Linked DNA regions of Oryctolagus cuniculus. The main gene of each other region encodes a partner of the protein of the gene in region 3 in a complex. Links are inferred from orthologs where the notes say so. Each region holds a gene or a part of one and is shown on either strand. Other genes may lie near its edges. The genes, in order: NCBP3, PHAX, NCBP1 and PPARGC1B.

Region 1 (5,190 bases), on a different chromosome or scaffold from region 3:
TCATGGGTTTTTCCCTCAGTTACGGTGGCGTTTCTTACCCTTCCCTTTTGTGTTAGGACACAAGCAGAAGATACGAAAACAAGGCTGGCAGCTTCATCACCGGGATTGACGTCACCTCCAAGGTAAGAGAGGCCACGGTTTGTTCAGCTTGATACACAGGGGAGCTTAGTGAACTCGGTCCCTAGGACCTGCAAAACAGTGAATATTTTTAACCTCCTCCTTTTCTTTTGTCAGTGCATTAAACCTGAGGGAAACTGTGTGATACCGTCAGTGATGCCCTCATGCATCCTGAAAGTGTCCAGGCAGCGTTTTTGTGTTCCTCATCCACAAAAAGATCAAAATCACTGTACTTAGATGCCTGCGCTTAACCATTTCCAAGAAAAAGCTTTGTACCGAGAATGCTTTTTTTTGAGCTGTGTCTCTTCTTAGAAAATATGTATCTCTTCTACTTTAAATGAAAGAAAACATGAAAAGTGCCTGGCACGTGGTAGGTGCTTAGTAAATGTCTTCATTCTTCATGGGTCACAGACTTGAAAAACAGGTTTTCTGACTGTGGTGATCTAAACTTGACTTTATTATTTTTTTCATAAAGATTTATTTCTTTGAAAGGTAGATTTTGAGAGAGAGAGAGATCTTCAGTCTGTTGGTTCACTCCCTAAATGGCTGCAAGGACCAGGGCGGGGCCAGTCTGAAGCCAGGAGCCAGGATTTTCTTCTAGGTCTCCTACATGGGTGCAGGGGCCCAAGGACTTGGGCCATCCCTCGCTGCTTTTCCAGGCACATTAGCATGGAGCTGTGTCGGAAGTGAAGGGACCGGAATTCCAACCAGTGCTCACATGGGATGCCAGCCTTGCAAGTGGCGGCTCTACCCGCCATGCCACAACGCGGGCCCCACAATCTAAACTTTAAGAGCCAAGCCACCCGGTACCTGAGAGTATTACCTTTCTTCCACTGAATGCTGCTCAAACCCATGATTTTTGTTATAAATAGCTAATACATATTTGTTTTAAGCACTGATAGCCAATTTAGATATTCTTTCTGATTTTAATGTGTGTAATTAAGTTTGGCACAGAATTTTAAATTACACTTCTGAAAGGCCAAAAGAAAGAGAACTGATCATCTTTTAGACAGCTGTGGAAGTAGAATGAAATGAAAATGTTTTCTTAGTGCAGGGTTCTTAAGAGCCACTAGAGGCGGGCAGTTGGACCTGGATTTATCTTAGGTGTTGGGAGAAACTCACAACGTAGATGATTTTTCCAGTGAGGCATCAGTGCTTCTTGTCACTTAAAGGTGAAAACTGGCAATTCCGGGGACACAGGCTGGAAGAGTGGAGAGTGTGTCTTTGCATCAGAGTTATTTTTAAACGAGGATCTAGCTTTAGGGCGGGGACTGCTTGGGCGGATGTAACGTGGCGGAGTGTGCCAGGTGTGATTACTGTGCCCACAGATGATGGAAGTGGTGGTGATGGGGAGAGGCTCCTAGAAATAGCCCTAGAATCAGAAGCTTGTCCCCCTTAACGTGAGCAGGCACCTCCAGCCTTCTGACTTGGGCCTCAGTTCTGTACCCGGGGAATTGGAATGTTGAGGTTGTGTAGCTGTGATTTGTTGGCATCATTGCTAATAGTTCAGGAACTGGACAGCACTATTCGTTCAATCAGCAAATGCTTGCTGAATTCCTCCTGTGTCCCAGCCACAGCGATAGGCTGTGATAGAATGCAGAGTATTACAGTATACAGCAGTGTTCACGTGGGCCCTCCCACACCATAGACTATGAAATCCAGTGTTCTATAAAACTGTTCAGTTTCAGTATTTCAGATTTATTTTTGTGTTTAAATTAGTGAGAGGGAATAAGAGAGTTCCCATCTTCTGGTTCACTCCTCACATGCCAGTGATGAGCTGCCTGGGCCCAAGGTGGCAGCAGGAGCTCAGTGCAGGAGTGCAGTTGTCTGAGCCATCGCTGCTGCCTCTTAGGGTCTGCACGGATAGGAAGCTGCCGTCAGCACCCAGAGCTGGCGTTGAACTCAGGCACTCCTCACTCCTCGCTGACGGGCCAAGTGCCTGACCCCTGATGTGTTTTGGAGTTGCCGCCGATTCATGTGATAATTTAACTTTCCTTTTCCATGTTTCACTTCCTTGACTTTTTCTATACTTTCTAGGAAGCAATTGAGAAGAAAGAACAGCGAGCCAGGCGTTTCCATTTTCGATCAGAAGTCAATCTTGCCCAGAGAAACGTCGCCTTGGACCGAGACATGATGAAGAAAGGTACAAGGTGTTTCTGGGGGAATCTGTGCACGTTAACCCAGGGAGTGACTTTTCCCTGCCATTGCCTCATGCATCTAACCTTGCTTTATATGAGGAATCTTCTAAAAGTTCATGGTTGCACCAAAATAAACTTATCTTTTAACTCCATTTTCTATTAACTTTCTGAAGTACACACAGCCTGAAAGTAATTTTATGCAGTATTTTTAATGCACCTTTGTTTTGACTGTGACCTGTCACATGAAATCAGGTATATGATTTTCCATCATGTTCAAGAAGTTCTGGTTTTGGGGGCGGGTGTTTGGTGCAGTGGTTAAGCTACTGCTTGAGACACTCGCATCCCATATTGGAGTGTCAGTTTGATTTCAGTTTCCTGCTGCTGCATGCCATGGGAGACAGCAGGTGGTGGCTCAAGTACTTGGGTCCCTTCCACCCATGTGGGAGACCAGGATTAAGTTCTGAGCTCCTGGCTTCCGCCTGGCCAAGCCCCAGCTTTTATGGGCATTGAAGGAGTGAACTAGCAGATGGAAAAGTGCTTTCTGTCTTTCTCCCTTTCAAGTAGATGAAAATAAATAAAAATCTTCAAGAAGGGTTTGGTTTTGGAGCCTTTCATGTTTCAGGTTTTTAGATTAGAAATTCTCAACTGGTACAGCAATCTGTTCCAGTCTTCCAAAGCAGTGTACAGATAGAGGGAAAATTAGTACTCTTAGTGAGCCTATGTCCTTATTTATTATTCCACTCTAATATAAATATTTGAATGCAGAAGGCCCCCCTGTGTTGTATTTGTAAGTTTGTATGTGTTGGGGGGGGTTGGGGGTTTAATTATTTATTTGAAAGGCAGAGAGAGAGAGCGAGCGAGAAAGATCTTCCATTTGCTGAGTCAGTTCCCAAATGCCTGCAGCAGCTGGAGCTGGGCCAGACCAAAACCCAGAACCTGTCATCCGCACGTTGCACGTGGGTGGCAGGGACACATGCTTCCGCTGCCTTCCTGGGTACACTAGCAGGACTGTGGCTGGGAAGCAGAGCAGCTTAGACTTGAGTGAGCACTCTGATATGGATGAACCCACCGTGCCACGAAGCCTGCACTCAGTTTGGCTTTTTTTTTTAAGGGCTCCATGGCAGCCTCTGAATGTGCATGGAAGGTCTGTGTGTGCGAGCTTCTCCAGCCGTGCTTGGCTGATGGGAGCAGAAGCTCAGCACCATGTTGAGTGAAAGGAAGAATCGGGAATAGTTACTATTTCTTGGGAACTTGCTTTCTTACCAAGTACTTGTCAAGCACGTGTTGCATTTGTTTATTGTTTCCCACAACTCTATGAGGTATATATTTTTATCCCCATTTTACACAAAAAAGCTAGAACACATTCATTTAATGAAATGCCCACGGTCGCTCAGCTAGTAAACATGAAGCGGTGTTTGAGCCCAGGGTTGGGTATTTGGTGCAGCAGGTTAAGATGCTGCTTGGGACACCTGTATCCCATGTTGGAGTGCAGGTTCTCATCCTGGCTGCTCCCAGCGGTGACAAAACGTTAAGTTGTTAGAGTGGTGCTTGGCATGTAGGAGGTGCTCAGTAAATGTTATTGTCATTTACTAAGTGAGCAGCCTCTTGGGAGAATGGAGAAGTTGGAAACAGCATCTTGCTTCCTCCAGGTGACAAGTTGTTCATTCCTACTATGAATACCAATATCAATACCAATACCAATACCAATACTACTACTAATAAAAAATAACGTTTGTTAAATGCTGGTCACTCTGCCAGAAGTTAACTTATCCTTTCAATAACCTTATGAGGGAATGCACTTAGCATTTGTGTTTTACCTGAGAGGTTAAGATGCTTGCCCAGAGTTCTACAGCTAGGTTAGGAGCAAGGCTGGACTGAAGGATTGGCCTGGCTAAAGCCTGTGTTCCCACCCAGGCTGCCAGCACTGGGGACCATGCTTTGGGATGCGCTACACTACACTGTTCTGTCCCAAGAGTGACTTGCTTCTTTTGGATGATTTGATGTCAAACTCCTTCTGTCTTGTCCCCAACATCAAGGGTCTCAGGGATGGAAGGCACCTTAAAGGTCATCCAGACCAAGCTCCCAAGCCCAGGGCTGCAGGCCTTTTCCCAAAGTTCCTGTTGGTCCTTTGGCGTCTGCTTAAATGTTTCCTAGTGATAGCACTGAGAACTGTTTACAAGACAGGCAGCTTTGGTTTTGGATTCTTCCTTGTGTTGAAGAAGCATTGTCTTCTAGTTATTGGTTGTTAGTTATTGTGTGGCCCTTTGAGCCACACAATGTAGCCTTCATGTAATGAAAGCATGGGCTTACTGGCGTCCCTACGCTTCCTTTATATGACACAGCTTTCTGATCTCTCTTCTCTGGACCCTTTTCAGTTTCCAAATGACCTTCATCAGGTGAGGTGTTGATTCCAGACAGGCCTGGATTCTTGGAGAGTATGGCAGGACTGGTAGTGCTGTCTCGGTCCTGGCCAGGTCATGGCGGGATACTCTTTGTCTGGTCAGCTCTTTTCTCCCAGGAATTGCACCCAGCAAAACAACTTGTATTTGAGGCACCTTTAGAAAATCCTTTTTTATTTACCGCAGTTTCATTACATCTTGTGAATTGAAAGTGTGCGTGTTTAGTCTGTTGAGTTAGCGTTCGTGTTACTTCTGCCCTTCAGTGCTATGCCCTCCTGCCTTTGTGTCCTCTCTGCCTTGGTCCGCATGGCTTCGACTTCAGCCAGTTGTCGGTGAATGTTGAACAGCGTCTGGCTGTAATCATGCCGCGAACATAGATGCATTAATTATAAGTCTTTTCATTTTATTGTCATGAGAAACTAGAGCAAGAGCACCATCTATGGTATTCCTTGAATTTCTTGGCCTAGTAATCCTGTCAGGAAAGAAACGAGGTTAGTGTGCCTTTCTTACACAGCTCATGTCATTTCCTAAGGGAA
Region 2 (5,986 bases), on a different chromosome or scaffold from region 3:
AGAGCAATGATGGTTAACCCTTGCCAGACAGCTTACAGCTCAGTGTGGGTGTGGGAAAAACAAATCTTCAGTAACTACATTCCCATGGGCAATACTGTATCAATCTCGTGGCTGCCACGTAATATTAAACTATCCAATCAAATGTATGTAGGTGACCTTATAAGGGAGACAACAAGGCTAAAACCATTTATAAGAGAAAACTTTGTTCAAGGCTTTTGGATAAGAAATTCCACTCGGGCCTTATGCCAGCATAATAAAAGACTACTTTCCCATTAAGAGCCCTTGGTGTCTTGTCTTGGTACACGAATCCTACTACATCAGGACGGAACCAGCGCCCATACGGGATGCCAGTAATTCAGACAGCAGCTTTATCTGCTACGCCACAGCACTGGGCTCAATTTTAATTGATTTTCAACTGATTCCATATGATTTATATATACAAGTCTAAGAACATACCGATATTCCCTCCTGAGAGCCACACCCCCATGACCCAAGGATCTCCCCAGTAAGCCACTGCCTCCCATATTGCCACACTAGGACCATGCCTCCAACCCACAAACATCTGGAGGGAAAATTCACACCACATCAGTCAATGACACTATTGTCCTGGGAAAACTTGTACTACCAGGCTCACAAAAAATGATTCTACAGCAGAAGGCTGGGCTCCTGTTTCACAGGGAAATTACCTGCAGAGACGGCCTCCCAAGTCATCCTGCAAACTGCTGGACTCTGGCCAAGACACCAACTGCCCATCTGGTTGTCAAGGAGCCCAGCATCATGAGAACTGCTCCTTGACAATGTGTGATGCCTGGGGCCGGCACTGTCACACAGTGGGTTAAATCGCTGCCCAATGCCAGACCCCTCACGGGCACCACTTCCAATCGAGCTCCCTGCTAATCCGCTGGGGAAGGCAGCAGAAGATGGCCCAAGTGCTTGGGCTCTTGCCACTCATCTGGTAGACCCGTAAGAAGCTCCTGGCTCCTGGCTTCCTGGCCTGGACCCGCCCCAGCCACTGCAGCCATTTGGAGAGTGAGCCAGTGGATGGAAGACCTCTTTGTCTCTCCCTTCTTCCATCCCTCTGCCTCCGTAAAATGAACACACACATAAATATTTTTTAAAAAAAAGAAGAAAGAAAGAAAAGAAAAAAAAAGGGCCAGCATTGTGGTGCACCAGGTTAGAAATTTAAAAAGGAATTGCAAAGAATCTGGAATAGCTAAGATATTTTTTCCAAAAAAACCCGTATAACTTTAACATTATTTTAAATCTACAGTAATCAAGCATCACATTGGTTGGTGTAAAACAGGCATAAAGATCAGCGGAGCAGAATAGAGAGCACAGGAAATTCAAAGAGGAAAAAGTAGTCTTTTCAACAAACAGTGGTCTACTAATTGGACAGTTACACATACACACACACGCACACAAATCCAGATTCTTGACTCTTATTGCAAGCCGTATATAGTAATTAACTCAAAACAGACCACAGACCCAAAAACGTGAAAACTTCGAGAGAAAACACAGGAGAGCATCTTCGTTGCGGGGCGCTGTTGTGTGCATTATAGGATGCTGAGGTGCAACCCTGGCCTGGCCCCCCGTGTCAGCATCACCCCCAACGCACAGCAACTGAAAAGATCTCCAGACGACGCCAGACGTCCCCTGCAGAAGGAAACAGCCCCAGGTTGAAAAGCACTGGGCTATTCTGTGCCCCTGGGACACAAAACGCACACAAGGAAACCACCCATAAAGGAGACTTTGCATCATGGCTCCTCAAAGGACACTGATCAGATGTGAGAGCGAGCCACAGACACGGAGGGAGCAGGGTACAACTCCAATCAGATCAGATGTTCAACAAGGGGTCTCCAGAGCAGGGATGCCATGCTTATAATTCAGTGAAAAGGGAAAAATTCCGACGTTCAACACGAAGGACACACGCACATGCCAAACAGCGGGTAGAAGATACTCAGCAGCACCGCTCACCAGGGAGGTGCGGCGGTGCGCGGGCACCCGGGCCTCGAGGGGCGACGCCTCCTTCCGGGTGCACCTGCCCGGGGCAGCCGCACCCGGGCCTCGAGGGGCGACGCCTCCTTCCGGGTGCACCTGCCCGGGGCAGCCAGGCCACGCCGGGACCCCCGGGCCGCCGCCCCCGCACACACGGCGAGGACGGGCTCGCAGGCGGGAGCCCCGCGCCCCGGCCTTCACGCCAGCTGCCGCGCCGCCGGCTCCCGCGCGGGGGCGCCCGAGCGGCCGCCGCGCCGCCGGAAGTGCTCTCCCGAGCGCGCGCCGCGGGAAGATGGCGCTGGACGCGGGCGACATGGAAGATGGGCAGCTCTCCGACTCGGACTCCGACATGATGGTCGCGCCCAGCGACAGGCCGCTGCCAGTGCCGGTGAGTGCGGAGGGCGGCCGGGGGGCGCGCGGAGCCCGGGCCGCCAGCCTGGAGGCGGGCGTGCAGCGGCGGCGACTCCGCCTGCCAGGCCGCTGGTCGTGGTGTAAAAACCCAGCGGCGTCCCCGGCCTGGCGTCGCTCCGTTGTCCCGGAAGGGCCGAGACCCGGGGCCGTCGGCCTGGAGCAGCCCGCGCTGCTCATCCGGGCCCCGCGGGGTGAGGGGACCGTGGCCCGCAGAGCCCGCCCGCCCGCCCGGCTTTGTCTTGCGGGGCCGCCGGGGTCCCCCGCCGTCCGGCCCGCCTGCGTCCCCCGGGCGTCGCGCCGCGGACGCGGTGGTCGTGCGGGGCGGGGGCGCGGCCCGCACGCAGCGACTCGGCCGACGTCGCCCTAGACGCGGGGACGGACTCCTGCGGGACTCGGCCGCCGCCGGCCCGGCTGCTGGCGCTCGCGGGAGCCCGGCGCACGCGGAGTTCGTGTCGAGTCCCGGGTGCCGAGGGAGCGTGAGTTCTGGAGCTCCGTGCATTGTGTGCTTCCAAGCAGCTGGAGACGGGGTGTGCGGTGTTTCACCGCGCACAGAAGTTTGAGGTGCTGGATCTGCTCAGAGCTCTGATTCGCAGCTCACTCGGTGTAGACTACACTGCAGAACCCCACCTTGGACGCCAGGGGGTTGTGAAGTTGTTATGTGGCGGTAGTTATTTTTTTTTTTTTTAAAGCACAGGTGACTCCTTTTGCATATAAATGCCCTGGGAGTTAATTCCGACACAATTTGTTCTCAGTGGTTTTACCTAAATTGCTCCGTGACTTGGTAAACTGGCGTCATGAACTCTGCAGTTTTAGGATTGTTAGGGGGACAAGGTACTGGGTAAACTCCCTGCCTGCCACGCGGGCATCCTGTATTGGCGTCAGTTTGAGTCCTGCCTGCTCCACTTCGGATCCAGCTCCCTGCTAAGGCACCTGGGAAAACAGCAGAAGACGGCCCAGGTGCTTGAGCCCTGCACGTATGTGGGAGACCCGGATGAAGCTCCTGCTTGGAAGATCTCTCTCAATACGTCTGGCTTTCAATAAATAAATCTTAAAAAAAAAAAAAAAAGTGATATCACGGGTTCCTCCCGGTAGGAGTTTGCCTTCTAATCCAAAGGGAAACAATCATTGAACCTTATGGAGGAAGTTGGTGTGTGTACAGCAAGGCGGGTATCTGTGGAAAGAAAGAAAACAGTTCTAACTGCCAGTAGCAAATTGCGTGTGACATTCCCAGGCATTCTGACAATAATGGAAAAGACGAAATCTTCTGAAAGTGAGAACTGAGAGCTCTGCTAATTTCTTAAGAGACCTTAGAATTAAATGCTGCATTAGCTGTAGAAATAAGAATGCGTAGCCTTTTTTCTTCCAAGATTCATTTATTTATTTAAAAAGCAGAGAGACACATCTTTGATCTACTGGTTCACTCCTCAAATGCCCCCAATAACCAGGGTGGGGCCAGGCTGATGGCAGGAGCCCAGAATCCCACCCAGGTCACCCACATGGGTAGGAGGGGCCCGAGGACTTCGGCCATCTTCTGCTGTCCTTCCAGTATATTAGCGGGGACCTGGATCAGAAGTGGAGCAGCCAAGACTCAAAGTAGGCACTCAGATACGGGATGTGAGGTGTCCAAGATAACAGCTTAATCATTGCACTTCACAACGCCCATGCCAGGTTTTTTAGCTTTATATTTGGCAAATTCCATAAGCATTGGTTTCAGAGATGTTTTTGAAGACAATTTTGTTCTAGAATAGTCCAGTTGAGTCTCTCTCTCCCTCGCTCTTTATTTTTTTAAGCAGCACATGGCGGGTGGAATACATGGCGGAATGTGTTTTGTGGAACTGACCGTGTCTCCTCTTGCTTGCAGAAAGTTCTAGTAGGGGGCAGTGCCGCGAGGGGCTTGCAGAGTCCCACAGCAGCGGGTGCACCCGCGTCACATTACCGGACTGTTAAAAGTGTGGATTCAAGTGAAGAGAGCTTTTCTGATTCAGATGATGAGAGCTCTCTTTGGAAGCGCAAGCGACAGAAGTGTTTGAGCCTGCCTCCCAAGCCAGAGCCCTTCCAGTTTGACCAGAGTAGTCAGAAGCCCCCCGCCGCCGGAGGAAAGAAGGTTAACAACATCTGGGGCGCCGTGCTGCAGGAGCAGAACCAGGACGCCGTGGCCACTGAACTGGGCATCTTGGGAATGGAGGGCACGATTGACAGAAGCAGGCAGTCAGAGACCTACAATTACCTGCTGGCTAAGAAACTCAGGAGGGAATCTCAGGAGCACGCAAAAGATGTAGACAAGGAGCTAGACGACTACATGCATGGTGGCACAAAGGGGGGGTCGAAGGACGAGGAAAACGGGCAAGGGCATCTCAAGCGGAAGCGGCCCGTCAGAGACAGAGTGGGAGCCAGGCTGGAGATGAACTACAAAGGCCGGTACGAGATCACGGAGGAGGATTCTCAGGAGAAGGTGGCCGATGAAATCGCTTACAGGTGAGCAGCTAACTCGGGCCTACCAATGCACGCTCGACCCAGCTCTGTTCTGTTGTTGGAAACTCAGTGTGCATTCATGATGGCAAACGCATTAGCAATGTTGCCTTGAATTTTAATTACTTGGTTATTTTGCTTAAAGAACTCTGTGATTATTTGGTTATGTCAGTACATTTGTGTTTTAAATTTGAACAAGACTGAGAGGATAATCTTGCAGACTTCTAAAACTTTAAGTAACTCTTTGCATTTTGTGCCATAAAGCTCTTATATGGCACTTTTTTTGAATTCTGTGTATTGACTTGTTGTTATTTTCTGGAGCAGGCCAAAGCCAGGAGCCTAGCACTCCGTCCAGGTTTGCGACATGGTGCCTTCTGTCTGCCATGGTGCACGGTCACAAGAAGCTGGATCAGATGCAGAGCCAAGGCCTGAATGCGCGCGCTGATACGGGATGCACACATCCCAAGCAGCATGTGCACGCGCACACGAAGTGCCTGCCCCCAGGGCATCTTTTTAAATTATGTCTCTCTCTAGAGTTTTCAAGCACTTGTGACTTTGTAAACTAGCTCTTGAGGATTATTTTACGTATACTATTCACTCATCTCAAGTGTTGGGCTTTTTCAGCAAATTTATCAAGCTGTACAACCATCACCAACACTTTTTTTTTTCTTTTTGGGTTTATTTGTTTATTTGAAAGAGAGAGACAGATATTGCTGGGTCACTCCATAATGATCTTTAACAGCCAGGACAGGGTCAGGCCAAAGCCAGAACCCAGGGACTCCATGCTGGTCTCCTATATGGACAGCATGGATCCAAGCACTTGAAACATCGTCTGCTTCCTTCCCAGGGTGCACATAAGTGGGAAACTGGATCGGAAGCTGAGGCAGGACACAATCCCAGGCACTCCAGTGCAGGTGTACTGAGCGTGGCTTAACCTCCTGGGCCACTACACCAGCCACTCGTTGTGTCCATGTGCCCGTGCACAGTTGTGAACCCCTGTCCTTATTCCTACGTGACTCCTCATCTATACCTCATATAAACGTGCCTTTTCTGGGCATTTCATAGTATGTGAAATTTCACAGACTATGGTCACATGCCTGGCTTATTTCAC
Region 3 (5,190 bases):
CTACTTCACTTCCAATCCAGCTCTCTGCCATAGCCTGGAAAAGCAGTGGAGGATGGCCCAATCCTTGGGCCCCTGCGCCCACATGGGAGACCTGGAGGAAGCTATAGGCTGCTGGCTTTGGATCAGCCCAGCTCTGGTTGTTGCTCCATTTGGGGAGTGAACTAGCAGATGGAAGACACCTCTCCACCTCTCTGTAAGTCCGCCTTTCAAATTTTTTTTTTTTTTAAAGAATGACATCTGGCCAATCCAGAGCATGTCTGCACACACAGTTCTGATCTTCCTAGGCATAATCACTGGGGTTAATACACCGATGTCAGGAAAACCCACCAGTAACTCAGCTACTAACTTTCAGGTATCAAGAATTTATACTGTGATCTTTTATTGCCATTGTATTAACACATTCCTGGTGCTAAACGGATGAAATTCAACACAAGCGGTTCTCTCACCTGAGGCACATCTTCTTCCTGAGTTACACTTACAAAATTTTCAAACATAGCAACCATTGATGGGGCAGCAATCACATGACAATTCACAAGATCAGACAAAAAACGGACCTGTGGGGGCAAGCAATTCCTGCTATTACATCTGAATGTTCAAAATAAACAACAGAAACGATCTAAACCAAGGGTTTGAAAAACCGTAGCCCAAGGGCAGCATCAAGCGTACTCTGTTTTTGTACAGCCTGTGGACCAACAAAGCTTTCAGGTTTTAAATTCTTGGGGGGGGTGGGGGTGGGAAAGAGTATTTTCTAACACAAATTACTTGAAACCCAAATTTCAGCACCCAGTTAATTTTTACTGGAAGATAGTCATGCTCAGTTATACACTGTCCATGGTAGCTTTAGTGCTACAATGGCAGAGCTGAGTAGCTGTGAGAGAGACCACATGAAGAACAGAAAACCTGAGCTCACAGGTTCCCATGCTACACGACACTAAGAGCTCAGCCTGTAAATATCTTAGTGACATCACCTACAAAGTCCTTTCCCATTTGGCTATAATTTTCCTGAACCATAATAATGGAAAATCTGTTTAATTTATTGGGTGCCCTTTGTGGCCACTGGTAAGCACTTCTAAAGTTCCTGTTACAGGTAAGATCCTGGCAGGCACATTCTCACACAAAGGGATGAGTCCTCTACTGAGAGGCAAATCAAAGTGCTATAAGAACAGTGACAGAGTGAGTAGGGTCAGCATCATAAAGGCAGTAACTAGCTTAGGTCCTAACAGGTACATACCCCTCAAGCAGTGAGCAGAGAGGGCAAACTAGGGAGCAGGTAATTTTGACACAGCGGAGAGTGTAGGAGGTACGAAGAAACAGATCAGGGCAACCACTAAGGGTCCAGCTAGAGTCTGGACCTCAGTCTTATAGCCTGATGAGGGTCCAGACTCTGACAGTATACTTCATAAAAAGAATCTGATCCCTTATCTCCAACACAGGTATATTTACAATATATACTGGATCACTACCAATTTATGTTTTAGACATTAAGGCTTAATTCCATTTATAATAAATGAGTTCTAATATTTACTTTCTGCAACCCAGTCAATCACCTTTTCCCCAGGATTTATGATCACTGAGGACAATGGGAAGGAATTGGGGTTTTAGACACCAACCACCATGAGCTGAACACAAAGAACACTTTGGTGTCACTGCAGAAAGACTGAAAGAAAATTTAGATGTGAAAAAATTAAAGAGATCTTATGAACACGAGGAGGAAGGTGTGAAGTACACTGGTAGCCCTTGAGATAGAGAAGGAACAAATATGAGAGAAATTTAGGAGGCAGAACTGTAGGCTGCAAACAACTCAAAAGACAAAAGGAAGACAAAAGTTAACACTCAGGTTTCTGGGTGGGTCACCAAGTAGACAGTGGCCACTGTGAGTTGAGGAGATAAAAAGGAAATGTGACTGACATTAATTTAAGGATTTCCAGGTAAGGTTATCTTAGAGCTTTGCAGGGAACATTTGAAATACAGGTCTGGTACTTATGAGAAAGTTTGAAACTGGAGAAACACTTTCAGATTTGGGGGCAGCATCAAAACAAAGGTGGTTTATGAAGCTAGCAGAGTGTTTAAAGGAAGATGACCCAGTAAAAGATGAGGAATAGAAGGGAGGTGGCAGCTGGCGCCGCGGGTTCTAGTCCCGGTTGGTGCGCCGGGTTCTGTCCTGGTTGCTGTGGCCCGGGAAGGCAGTGGAGAATGGCCCAGGTGCTTGGGCCCCTGCATCCGCATGGGAGACCAGGAGGAAGCACCTGGTTCCTGGCTTCGGATTGGTGCAGCACGCCGGCTGTAGCAGCCATCTGGGGGGTAAACCAATGGAAGGAAGACCTTTCTCTGTCTCTCTCACTAACTCTGCCTATTAACAAAAAAAAAAAAAAAAAAAAAAAAAAAAGGAGGTGGCAGGTGATACAGGGAAACCAGCTAGGATTCCGAGTGAAAAAAGACCCTGGATTTGGTATTGAGCTCTGTGGTGCCTTTAATGAGAACGGTTTTAAAAGAGCAGTTGTTAGGGTCAATAGGAGACTGACTCTCAAGAGAAAAGACACAGTATTTAGTTAGTGCTTACCTTTTTCCTCCATACCAACACTAAGTCATGATATACAGAAATAAAAAGTTAAGGGTGGTGCTCGCTCCAGCAGCTAAGACACAGGTCAGGATACCAGCATCCACATCAGAATGCCTGGGCTCCTGCCACCCACATGGGAAACCTGGACCGAGTTCCTGGCTCCAGGTTTGGGCCTCCCGCCCCAGCCATCATGGGCATTTGTGAACTGAACCAGCCAATGGGAGCTCCGTTTCTCAAATAAACTTCAAAATTATAGAAATAAAAACTTACCAAATACACAGCTTCATTATAATTGTTTGCTTTCAATGATTCTTTAAGTTGACGAATCATAGCTTCTACAAATTCTCCACCAAAGTTGTAATTCCTGGCATTCAGCAGTCCAACCAACGTTGTATAAATTGTCAACTTCTCAGGTAACAGACGTGCACTGATTTGAGAACCAGTACAACAGGAAACCCCCAAAACAATGGCATTATATTAATTTGCTGAATTTCATATAAATGTTTCATCATTCATTACTTTTGGAATAGGATCACCATTATGTTTGTAAAACTATTCCATAAAAAGCTTATGTGTCCATAAGAAGAGCTGCAGACATGGATTCCCAATTTTTTCACTTTAATTCTAGTTAATTAAAAAGTTAGGAAAGACTGGGGCTGGCGCTGTGGCAGAGGGTTGAAGCTCCGGTCTGCAGCATCGGCATCCCATATGGGCGCAGGTTCATGTCCCCGCTGCTCTGCTTCCGATCCAGCTCTCTACTGTGGCCTGGGAAGGCAGTAGAAGTTGGCCCAAGTGCTTGGGCCCCTGCACCCATATGGGAGACCTGGAGGAAGCTCCTGGTTGGCTTCGGGTCGGCCAATTGGAGAGTTGACCAGCGGATGGAAGACCTCTCTCTCTCTCTTTGCCTCTCTGTAACTATTTCTCAAATATATAAAATCTTTAAAGAAAAATTAGAAAACGGTTTAATTGTGAAGTTATTTCACCACTGAAATAAATACCACAGCTCACGCTAGACCAGTTTTTCTTCAAGTATGTTGAGTAGAATCAAATAGCAGCTCCCCAGACATGACTTCCATGGTAAAATACAAGATTCTGGGTACAACAAGTTTCTTTAATGCAAAATCATTAAGAGGGTGGGGGAGTGGCACATGGCACAGCACTGAGTTTTAAAACTTAACTAACCAAATGTCATGGGACCCATTCCACTTTGAGAAACACTATTCTAGCCACTTATAAAAGATGCAGAATAAAACCAATTTCAACTAATTTCCTATCACTTAAACTGTTGAAATCTTAACTTGGTACTCATTGTTGATTTCATTAAAATTATTTGAAAAGTAGGAGAGAGGATTACAATAATAAACCTTTAGAAGAAGCAACTGTTGCTTCATAATTTAGGCAGCCTTTAGAAATAAGTTCAAACACTAAAGCGACTCCTGAGATAATTCAACGGGGAAGGGATTCTTATAAGTTTATAACCTTACATATTTATAAATCTAGTTAAAGGTTTTCCTAAGGTATCTAGCATTAGGGACAATTTAGGTCTTCAAAAATACTTGGACAGAAATCATACTCCCTATAAACCTCCCCAAACCTCAAATTAAAAAATAGTGCCAAGCAATACTGGTACAGCCTTAAACAAACATAGCCTCTGACAAGAGTTTAAGTATAAACACTATTCCATGCTACTAAGTGCTTTTAAAAGAGAAGGAGTTTTTTGGATAACCACAGCAAAATGATTTTTATTAGTTTTTTAAAGATATGTGTTCCTGAATATTAACTGTATTCCTCTTGAAAATTCTAAAGCAAATTAACTGTACTTTTAATAATGTGACGTTAAAATGAAACCCACTAATTGTATGTGCATTTTTTAAACTTCAAAAATTAACTGCATTAAAAAAATAACTTGGAGCCGGTACTGTGGCATGGTGGGTTTAGGGTGCCTGCAATGTGAGCATCCCATATGGTAGTGCAGTTTGAGTCCCTACTGCTCCTCTTCCAATCCATCTCCCTACAAATGCTCCTGGGAAGGCAACTGAAGACAAACCAAGTAACTGGGCCCCTGCCAGCCACATGAGCGGCTAGGATGAAGTTCTGGGCTCCTGGGTTCAGCCTGGCCCAAACTTGGCTGCTGCAGCCATTTGGGGAGTGAACCAGTGGATCGAAGATTATAGTCATCTGCCTTTCAAATAAATAAGATCTTCCAAAAGACAAAACCAAAAAACTTAAGTCACCTTCATAATTCAAAAACAGCTTACAGAGGTTATAATTTCATTTAAATTACGAAGACCCCTATTTATCCAGAAGTTAGTTCTTTGCAAGGCCAGCAATTCAGAGCAATCAATGTCTACCTGAAAGTCTAGATCATTATCTTGGTTACTGACAGACTCTTTCATAATTTCATGAGACTTTTCCCACCGTAACATCCTCACAAAATGCGGTCACCAGTATTAGCCAACCTAACTCAGAAGATTATGTCTATTAATACCTTCAAAAGCATTTTCTGTCTCCCAAGAACCACAACTTTAATTACCAGTTCTCAAATTTGTTTGGTACTACCAGCTAAAAAAATAAGTTAAACTCTATTTATACATTTAAAAGTATATGCTTACAAAATAAAATCTCTGGGA
Region 4 (5,942 bases), on a different chromosome or scaffold from region 3:
TTCCTGCTGCCCCAGGGGAAGGACTGAGAGGGACCCTCTTCCTTGACCAATGAACCCACTAGATTCACCTTATCTGTGATCACTATACAACCAATTTCTTTCCTTGGTCACATCTGATGCTGGGGTTCAGGTTCCCCCAAACTGAGGGCAGCTGCTACATCTCAAATCTTGCTAATGCGGAGTCAGGGTGACAACACATCCCCTGGGGTTGATTTGCCCCATTTCTCAAGCTGCAGGCTCGGCTCCAAGTTCAGCGGCACTCAAGGCCTGGGATGGGCCACGGCTGGAGCAGTCCCTGCAGAAGCCCTGGGCCTTCAATGCCTGCCACGCCTCCCCACCCATCACCTGCGCTGCATGCATCCAGGAGAAATCGCTCTCATAACACCAACGAACTCAGGCCTCAGGCCCTGCAAGGCACCTTGCTGCACCTCCTCTCACTTCCCGGGTCAGAGCTTTGTGCACCGAGTTTCTCCTCCTCGGAGCCCTGCTCTCCCCTCCCCTCCCGGAAGCCCCGCCTCTTTCCTGAGCATGTAACACTCGAAGCTGCAAGATCTCCAGGCAGACGCAGACACCACACAGGTGCTTTCTGACTCCAAGCAGTTTTCTGGTTGGGGACAAGGTGCGCTGTGGGGAGAGGGGGCGGGGCCCTTAGCTGCACTCCATCCACTCATATTCTTTACCTCTTTGATGCATTTTCCTTCGGTAACCAGAGCCCCCGAGAGCGAGGACTCTGATTCAGCCTGGTACCGACTGAGGAAGGAGATGGAAGAATTCCACATAGCGGTTGGATTGGACATTTTTGGAAAACACCAGCAGGGCACACAGAGACGGTAGGAGCTGCCCTGCGTGGGCAGCTTCAGCACAGGCCGGGGGAAGCTTTGATGGCGAGCACACGTAAACACCATCGAGAGCAGACATGAGGACCAAGCTATGATGAGATGCTTGCCAGCAGCGGCTGCTCCCTCTGGATCGCTCCTGAATGTGGTGGGAAAGAGAGCAAGGTGGGCTCGTTTTCCTGAAAGACCTTGGCGCGCCCTTGGGGATGACACACAGCACTGAGTGACTCTTCGGGACAGAGGTCGTCCACAGTGGTCAGCTCTGGAGCTTGTAGCCTTTCACGGCTGGGACAGCAAGCCAAGGCTATCGTCAGCTTCCGACCCCACACTCGGGCTCTGCTATCTAAGCTCAAGGGCCAACGTCTAAATATCTTCCAGTCTCCATGTACCCCGACGCGGTGGGTGGGCTGGTCCTTCCTTCAAATCTGCATTTCATGACCAGAAAGTGCCACCAGCCCCAGACAGAACCTGTGGCCAGTGCCAGAGGAGGCGGCCAACAGAGGGGCTCAGAGAAGATGCCGATGACTCCTTTCAGCACAGAGGTGCCGGCGGGGGGACGGGCCCCCTCCAAGTAACAGGGAATTCTTGCTGGGGTCACAACTTGGATGCTAGTGCTCATTCTCGTTCCCAGGTGAAGGCGGAGGTCACTCCCTGATGCACACCAGGACGTAGCGGAGGCAGCAGCAAGACTGAAATTCTATCCCACCCCACAAACCTGTCTAATGTGCCTACTATGTGCTAGGCAGTGAAGAGCTATAAAGGAACTTAGAACGACCAGGTCTGTACCGTGGAAAGTCCCTTTTTTGGTCCATCTGGATAAACCCTGTCTTCACCAAAGCTGTTCCTGCCTGCTCTTCCGCTCCCCCGTCCCGCCCTGCCTGAGAAGGGCTGTGTGTCACAGGGCACGGGGAGTCCCAGGCCCAGAATGGCTTTAGGGGTGTTTTCTCTCCTAGATTGGGACACGACAGACGGGGAAGGGTTGGCATAAAACCCAGGCAGCATAAAAGGTTCTGTGTTGACTGATCGGAACCTCTCACAGCTTAGACCAGGATGTGTGGTTGATTAAACTCTGGCCAGTTAGTAATGGCAGCCCAGAGCACTGTGTTGTGGCCTCTTAATAACACATCTGGGGTCAAAGAACATGAGTGCTGTGTTAGATTAGTTATATCTGCATTGGCCAAGAACAGGGCAGTGGTGGTGCCTGTACTTCGTATGTGCCACCCTGAGCTAGACGCTGCCTTAGCAGAAGCTGAGACTGCTGGAAATGGCTGAACTCTCCCTCTCACTTCACTTTATCAGGGGTCCAGAAAGGTCAAACGACTTGACACACACAGGAGCTCAAATTCTCTGATCCTGCTAAAGCCTGTGCCCTCCAGCCTTACCGAGGGACTGAAAGCACGCTCACCTTCAGGACAAGGTCATGGGCTCAGTTTACCTAGAGGTATTTGATAATCTGAAAAAGAAAAAAAAAAAAAAAAAAAAAAAAACTACCAATTCTCAAGGGACTAGGTCAAGACTAATGAACCACTTTCAAGCATTTTGAAAGTAGCAGGACCCCTAAAAAACAAAACAAAACCTTCCCAAAGACCCCTGCTGAATGAAGGGGATCAAGGAGGAGATGCTGGCGGGCAGCAGGGGTGCCCACCTTGCCCGGCCACTGCCGCCCTCAACAAAGGCCCCGCAGAACATCCAGCTGGGTGTGGCTCTCACATTGTTCAAGAACCAAGCCTCAGGTCAAGTTCAGACAGAATGTTTCCCAGTGGTGGAGACTGTCACCTCCATCCCTAGCCTCACACTGCCTCCTGGCTCTACTCTACTCCACTCCACCAAAACAACTCTACACGTGAGGACCAGGTAAAGACAACAGCCTCACAACAGGGAGAGGAGGGGCCGGCGACTGGCCCCAGAGGGACGACAGCCATTGCCAGGTGCATCACAACCCACTGACGGCGCATTGCCCACAGGCAGAGGCAAACCACAGGACCACTGGGCTCAGAGCTGACGGTGTGCACAGCACGTGTGCCACGCCTGGAATGTGGCTGGCAACATGACTCAGCTGTGGTCTGGATGCCCCAAATGCTGGGAATCAGGAGGTCTGGTCTGGGTCACTGGCCACGGGATCCCAGACAAGCCGCTTGTACCCTCTGGGCACAGCCTTGCTTCTCCTAGACAATGGGCACAGTGCAGCTGGCCTGGCCCTCTTTACAAGGTACGGGAGGGGCTGAGAGCGAACAGATGGGCACATGCCAGAAGGGGCCGCTGGACACAAGATGGGGAAGACCCAGAAAGCTGTCTGTGCTGCTCCTTGTGGGGCCGGAGGCCACACAGCCCCTCCAGGGCAGCCTGGGAAGGGAAGCAGAGCAGCTCAGCGGCAAACATCTTAGGACAGTGCATAGTTAAAACTCAAGGAAGCGATACAATAATCCCAGGCACAGCACATCTGAGCCATAAATACAGTATTTGAAGGATATACTTTGTTCTTTTTTTTTTTTTTTCAATTAAAAACGAGTTGATAGTCCTGATTCTATTCACAAGTAACAAGTTCATCATCACACACTACAGACAAACAGTGTTATGGCGAACACAGCTGCAAGGCTACGCAGGGATGAGGGGGCACAGGGTGACCGACCCAGCACGGGAGGCGCGCGCCCGGACAACCCGTGGGAAGCGAGGACACCAACATGGCAGTGGAACATCAACACCATGGGGACTCACGGACAGAAGCAGCTTTGTTCAATGTAAACATTGATCTTGTTCTGAAAAGGACAGCAAGTTCAAGTCTCTCTTCCGTGTGTACTCTCACGCTCGCTCGCGCTCTCCTCCTCGGCGACCTCACTTCTTTGAAAACGTAAACATATTGGAAGGGCCTTGTCTGAGGTATTGAGGTATTCCTCGAAGGGTAAGGCTTGATCAGTGCAGGCTCTGCTGGGCCTCCTTCAGCAAGCTGTCAAAATCCATGGCTTCGTACTTGCTTTTCACGGGCGTGGGGAGGGCCTCTTCAGAATTGGAATCTGGCGGGGGGGGGGGGTGGAGGAGCCAGGGAGAGGGGAAGGCGGTGAGCGACTGACGGAGCCCGCAGCACCGGGCCACCTGCCTCTGAGCTCGGGCTGTGGCCCGAGGCCCCAGAGCAGGGATGAGTACCGAGAGCACCGACCGCCCTTCTGCCTTGACAGCTCTGCCAGTGCACCTACGCTTTGGGCCCTGGTTGTTCTGTTTGTAGAGCAAGGCAGGGCCTGAGCTGGGGCACCCCGAGCTCCTTTCCAGCTCCAGAACCTTAGAGCCTGCTGCTGACTCACACATGGGAAGGCTAACAAAACTGGCATCTCTGTCTGGCATACATAGGGAAACTGAGGCCCACAGGTGCACCTGCAGCCGAGCGCAGCACCGCCTGGTGAGAACCCACTGAGATCTGCTGCTACCAGCCTTGGAGCCCGCAGGCCACACTGTGCTCATCCCAACGAGTGATTGTTTCCTACATTCTGCTTCTTTGTCCTGGGCCAACTTGTCCACAGCTGGCAAGGGCCCACCACTGGTACTGTTCCACTGTGGCCCCCCCATAGACACGGCTGCACTTTGTCAAGGGGTCACCAGGGAACACCTCTCAAGAGGGCAGGGTAGCAGGTGGCCCCGCTAGGTCAGAGACAGCAGCCATGGCTCTGCCAACCAGCTGTGAACACAGGGTGGCCCTCTCCCCACAGGCCTCGGGAAGCTGGGCTACTGCTTCTTGGTGGCAGCCAAGGGACAGGACAAAATGGACCAAAGGCTGGAAGAAAAGGAAGATGGGAGCCCCCAGGCCAAGAGGCTGCTGGGGCAGCTGGGGGCCCGGGGAGGGGAAGCGCGTCCAGGAGGGGCCTTGGGTCTCGCCAGCTGGAGCCGGACCTCAGGCACTTACCATAGTCGGTGTACCTGGGCCAGCGGAAGTGCTGGAGCCCTCCGTAACTCAGCTGGAAGGAGGGCTCGTGGCGCTGCAGCCCCGCGCCGTTCCTCAGAGACAGGGCCGCGTGCTCGGAACACCGGAAGGTGACGTAGCCGCACTTCTCGCCTCTAGGGGAGAAGGCAAGGGAGAGCATTCCCAGGGCGCTGCCCGACCGCCCAGCACCACACAAGGAGCAGAGAGCCACGCGGACTCCGCGCCCACGTCACGTAGCCCCCAGGCTGACCGCTGCAGTGGCAGTAACAAAAGTCGCAAACCTGTGCGGACACAGCCTCACACTGTCTTAGATGACCCTGGGAGGTGGCTACTGTCATTACCTCCACCCATGGTCGAGCCTGAATTCAGACCCAGGCCTTCCAGGACGTTAAAGCCGACGCTCCGAACAGACTCCCATAACTCTTTTCTGTGCACTTGCCCTGCCAACTGCCCGTTCCCACCATCACATGACCCTGCACCCTGCAAACCTGGCCCCAGGCACCACCTCCACGGCTGCCGCTGTGGTCTGCACTGCGTCCACCATGGCCGGTATTCGCTAACATCACCTTCCTCCTGCCTGCTTGGCTTCCAGCCCCCTTCCTCGGACAAAAGCATCGGTTAGCCAACCAGGCTCAGGGGGCCGGGGGAAGTCCCAGGAAGGTGGCTCTCCCTGGATACAGTGGTTGGTTCAAGGGTGAGCTGTCACTCAAAACCAACCCCCAGAGAACTCAGCCCAGATCTTTGCTGGAACTGTGAGGGCGACGCCTGCTTGCCCTGGGGTCTCTAGGTTGGTGGGAGGTAAGCTTAGCACTGGAGGCAGCCACTCTGCAAAAAGGAGGAAAGTCGGCCTGGAAAGGCTTCCAGAGCAAGGGGGCCCTAAACTCAGGTCCACTCTGACATTCTGCTTCGCGAACAAGAGGAAGAATCCAAAGGGCAGAGACGAAGGGGCCGTTCCCTGCAGCTCTGTAGGCATCTAATAAACATTCAAGGGCATCCCATTCCCAACACCCTGCTGAACCCAGGCCAAGTTGAAACTCTTCTGCCTCTTCAGATGCCTGCAACTGGTAGTGTGTATAAGGCTCCTTCTGGAAGATCTTGCATAATGAATTGGGACTGGCAGTGTGGTATAGTGGTCACGTCGCTGCTTGCAATGTGGCATCCCCTATCAGAGTGCCAATCTGAATCCCAGCTGCTCT

Evidence for each region.
Region 1: the proteins of NCBP1 (region 3) and NCBP3 are in contact, whole or in part, in a cryo-EM structure (PDB 8BY6), measured with the Homo sapiens proteins. The link is inferred for Oryctolagus cuniculus from reciprocal best matches to the Homo sapiens genes NCBP1 and NCBP3. Residues at the interface, in NP_002477.1 of Homo sapiens: Lys330, Ile377, Glu378, Cys380, Lys381, Pro384, Pro388, Gln389, Ala392, His420, Asn423, Phe424, Gln425, Arg427, Trp428, Ser429, Glu431, Asp432; in NP_001107590.1 of Homo sapiens: Glu572, Asp574, Glu576, Leu577, Gln578, Ala580, Trp581, Gly582, Leu584, Ile585, Lys588, Glu589, Arg592.
Region 2: the proteins of NCBP1 (region 3) and PHAX are in contact, whole or in part, in a cryo-EM structure (PDB 8PNT), measured with the Homo sapiens proteins. The link is inferred for Oryctolagus cuniculus from reciprocal best matches to the Homo sapiens genes NCBP1 and PHAX. Residues at the interface, in NP_002477.1 of Homo sapiens: Cys380, Lys381, Pro384, Pro388, Gln389, Leu391, Ala392, Thr395, Phe417, His420, Leu421, Asn423, Phe424, Gln425, Arg427, Trp428, Ser429, Asp432; in NP_115553.2 of Homo sapiens: Ile114, Asn115, Asn116, Ile117, Trp118, Gly119, Val121, Leu122, Glu124, Gln125.
Region 4: the proteins of NCBP1 (region 3) and PPARGC1B are in contact, whole or in part, in a crystal structure (PDB 6D0Y), measured with the Homo sapiens proteins. The link is inferred for Oryctolagus cuniculus from reciprocal best matches to the Homo sapiens genes NCBP1 and PPARGC1B. Residues at the interface, in NP_002477.1 of Homo sapiens: Glu26, Asp29, His30, Ser33, Leu34, Lys37, Val38, Lys41, Ser42, Ala43, Cys44, Asn49, Gly52, Leu53, Val56; in NP_573570.3 of Homo sapiens: Tyr1006, Glu1007, Ala1008, Met1009, Asp1010, Phe1011, Asp1012, Leu1014, Leu1015, Lys1016, Glu1017, Ala1018, Gln1019.

The regions. Positions count from the first base shown.
Region 1 is NC_091448.1:49,103,012-49,108,201, reverse strand, and holds part of NCBP3 (nuclear cap-binding protein subunit 3), read left to right. Parts: intron 1-56; coding exon 57-122; intron 123-2,154; coding exon 2,155-2,260; intron 2,261-5,190. UniProt on the Homo sapiens protein: Associates with NCBP1/CBP80 to form an alternative cap-binding complex (CBC) which plays a key role in mRNA export. NCBP3 serves as adapter protein linking the capped RNAs (m7GpppG-capped RNA) to NCBP1/CBP80.
Region 2 is NC_091437.1:15,870,770-15,876,755, forward strand, and holds the start of PHAX (phosphorylated adapter RNA export protein), read left to right. Parts: upstream 1-2,224; 5' UTR 2,225-2,287; coding exon 2,288-2,383; intron 2,384-4,267; coding exon 4,268-4,881; intron 4,882-5,986. UniProt on the Homo sapiens protein: A phosphoprotein adapter involved in the XPO1-mediated U snRNA export from the nucleus.
Region 3 is NC_091432.1:201,440,858-201,446,047, reverse strand, and holds part of NCBP1 (nuclear cap-binding protein subunit 1), read right to left. Parts: intron 2,988-5,190; coding exon 2,831-2,987; intron 555-2,830; coding exon 447-554; intron 1-446. UniProt on the Homo sapiens protein: Component of the cap-binding complex (CBC), which binds cotranscriptionally to the 5'-cap of pre-mRNAs and is involved in various processes such as pre-mRNA splicing, translation regulation, nonsense-mediated mRNA decay, RNA-mediated gene silencing (RNAi) by microRNAs (miRNAs) and mRNA export.
Region 4 is NC_091437.1:37,173,309-37,179,250, reverse strand, and holds the end of PPARGC1B (peroxisome proliferator-activated receptor gamma coactivator 1-beta), read right to left. Parts: intron 4,881-5,942; coding exon 4,729-4,880; intron 3,848-4,728; coding exon 3,747-3,847; 3' UTR 1,422-3,746; downstream 1-1,421. UniProt on the Homo sapiens protein: Plays a role of stimulator of transcription factors and nuclear receptors activities. Activates transcriptional activity of estrogen receptor alpha, nuclear respiratory factor 1 (NRF1) and glucocorticoid receptor in the presence of glucocorticoids.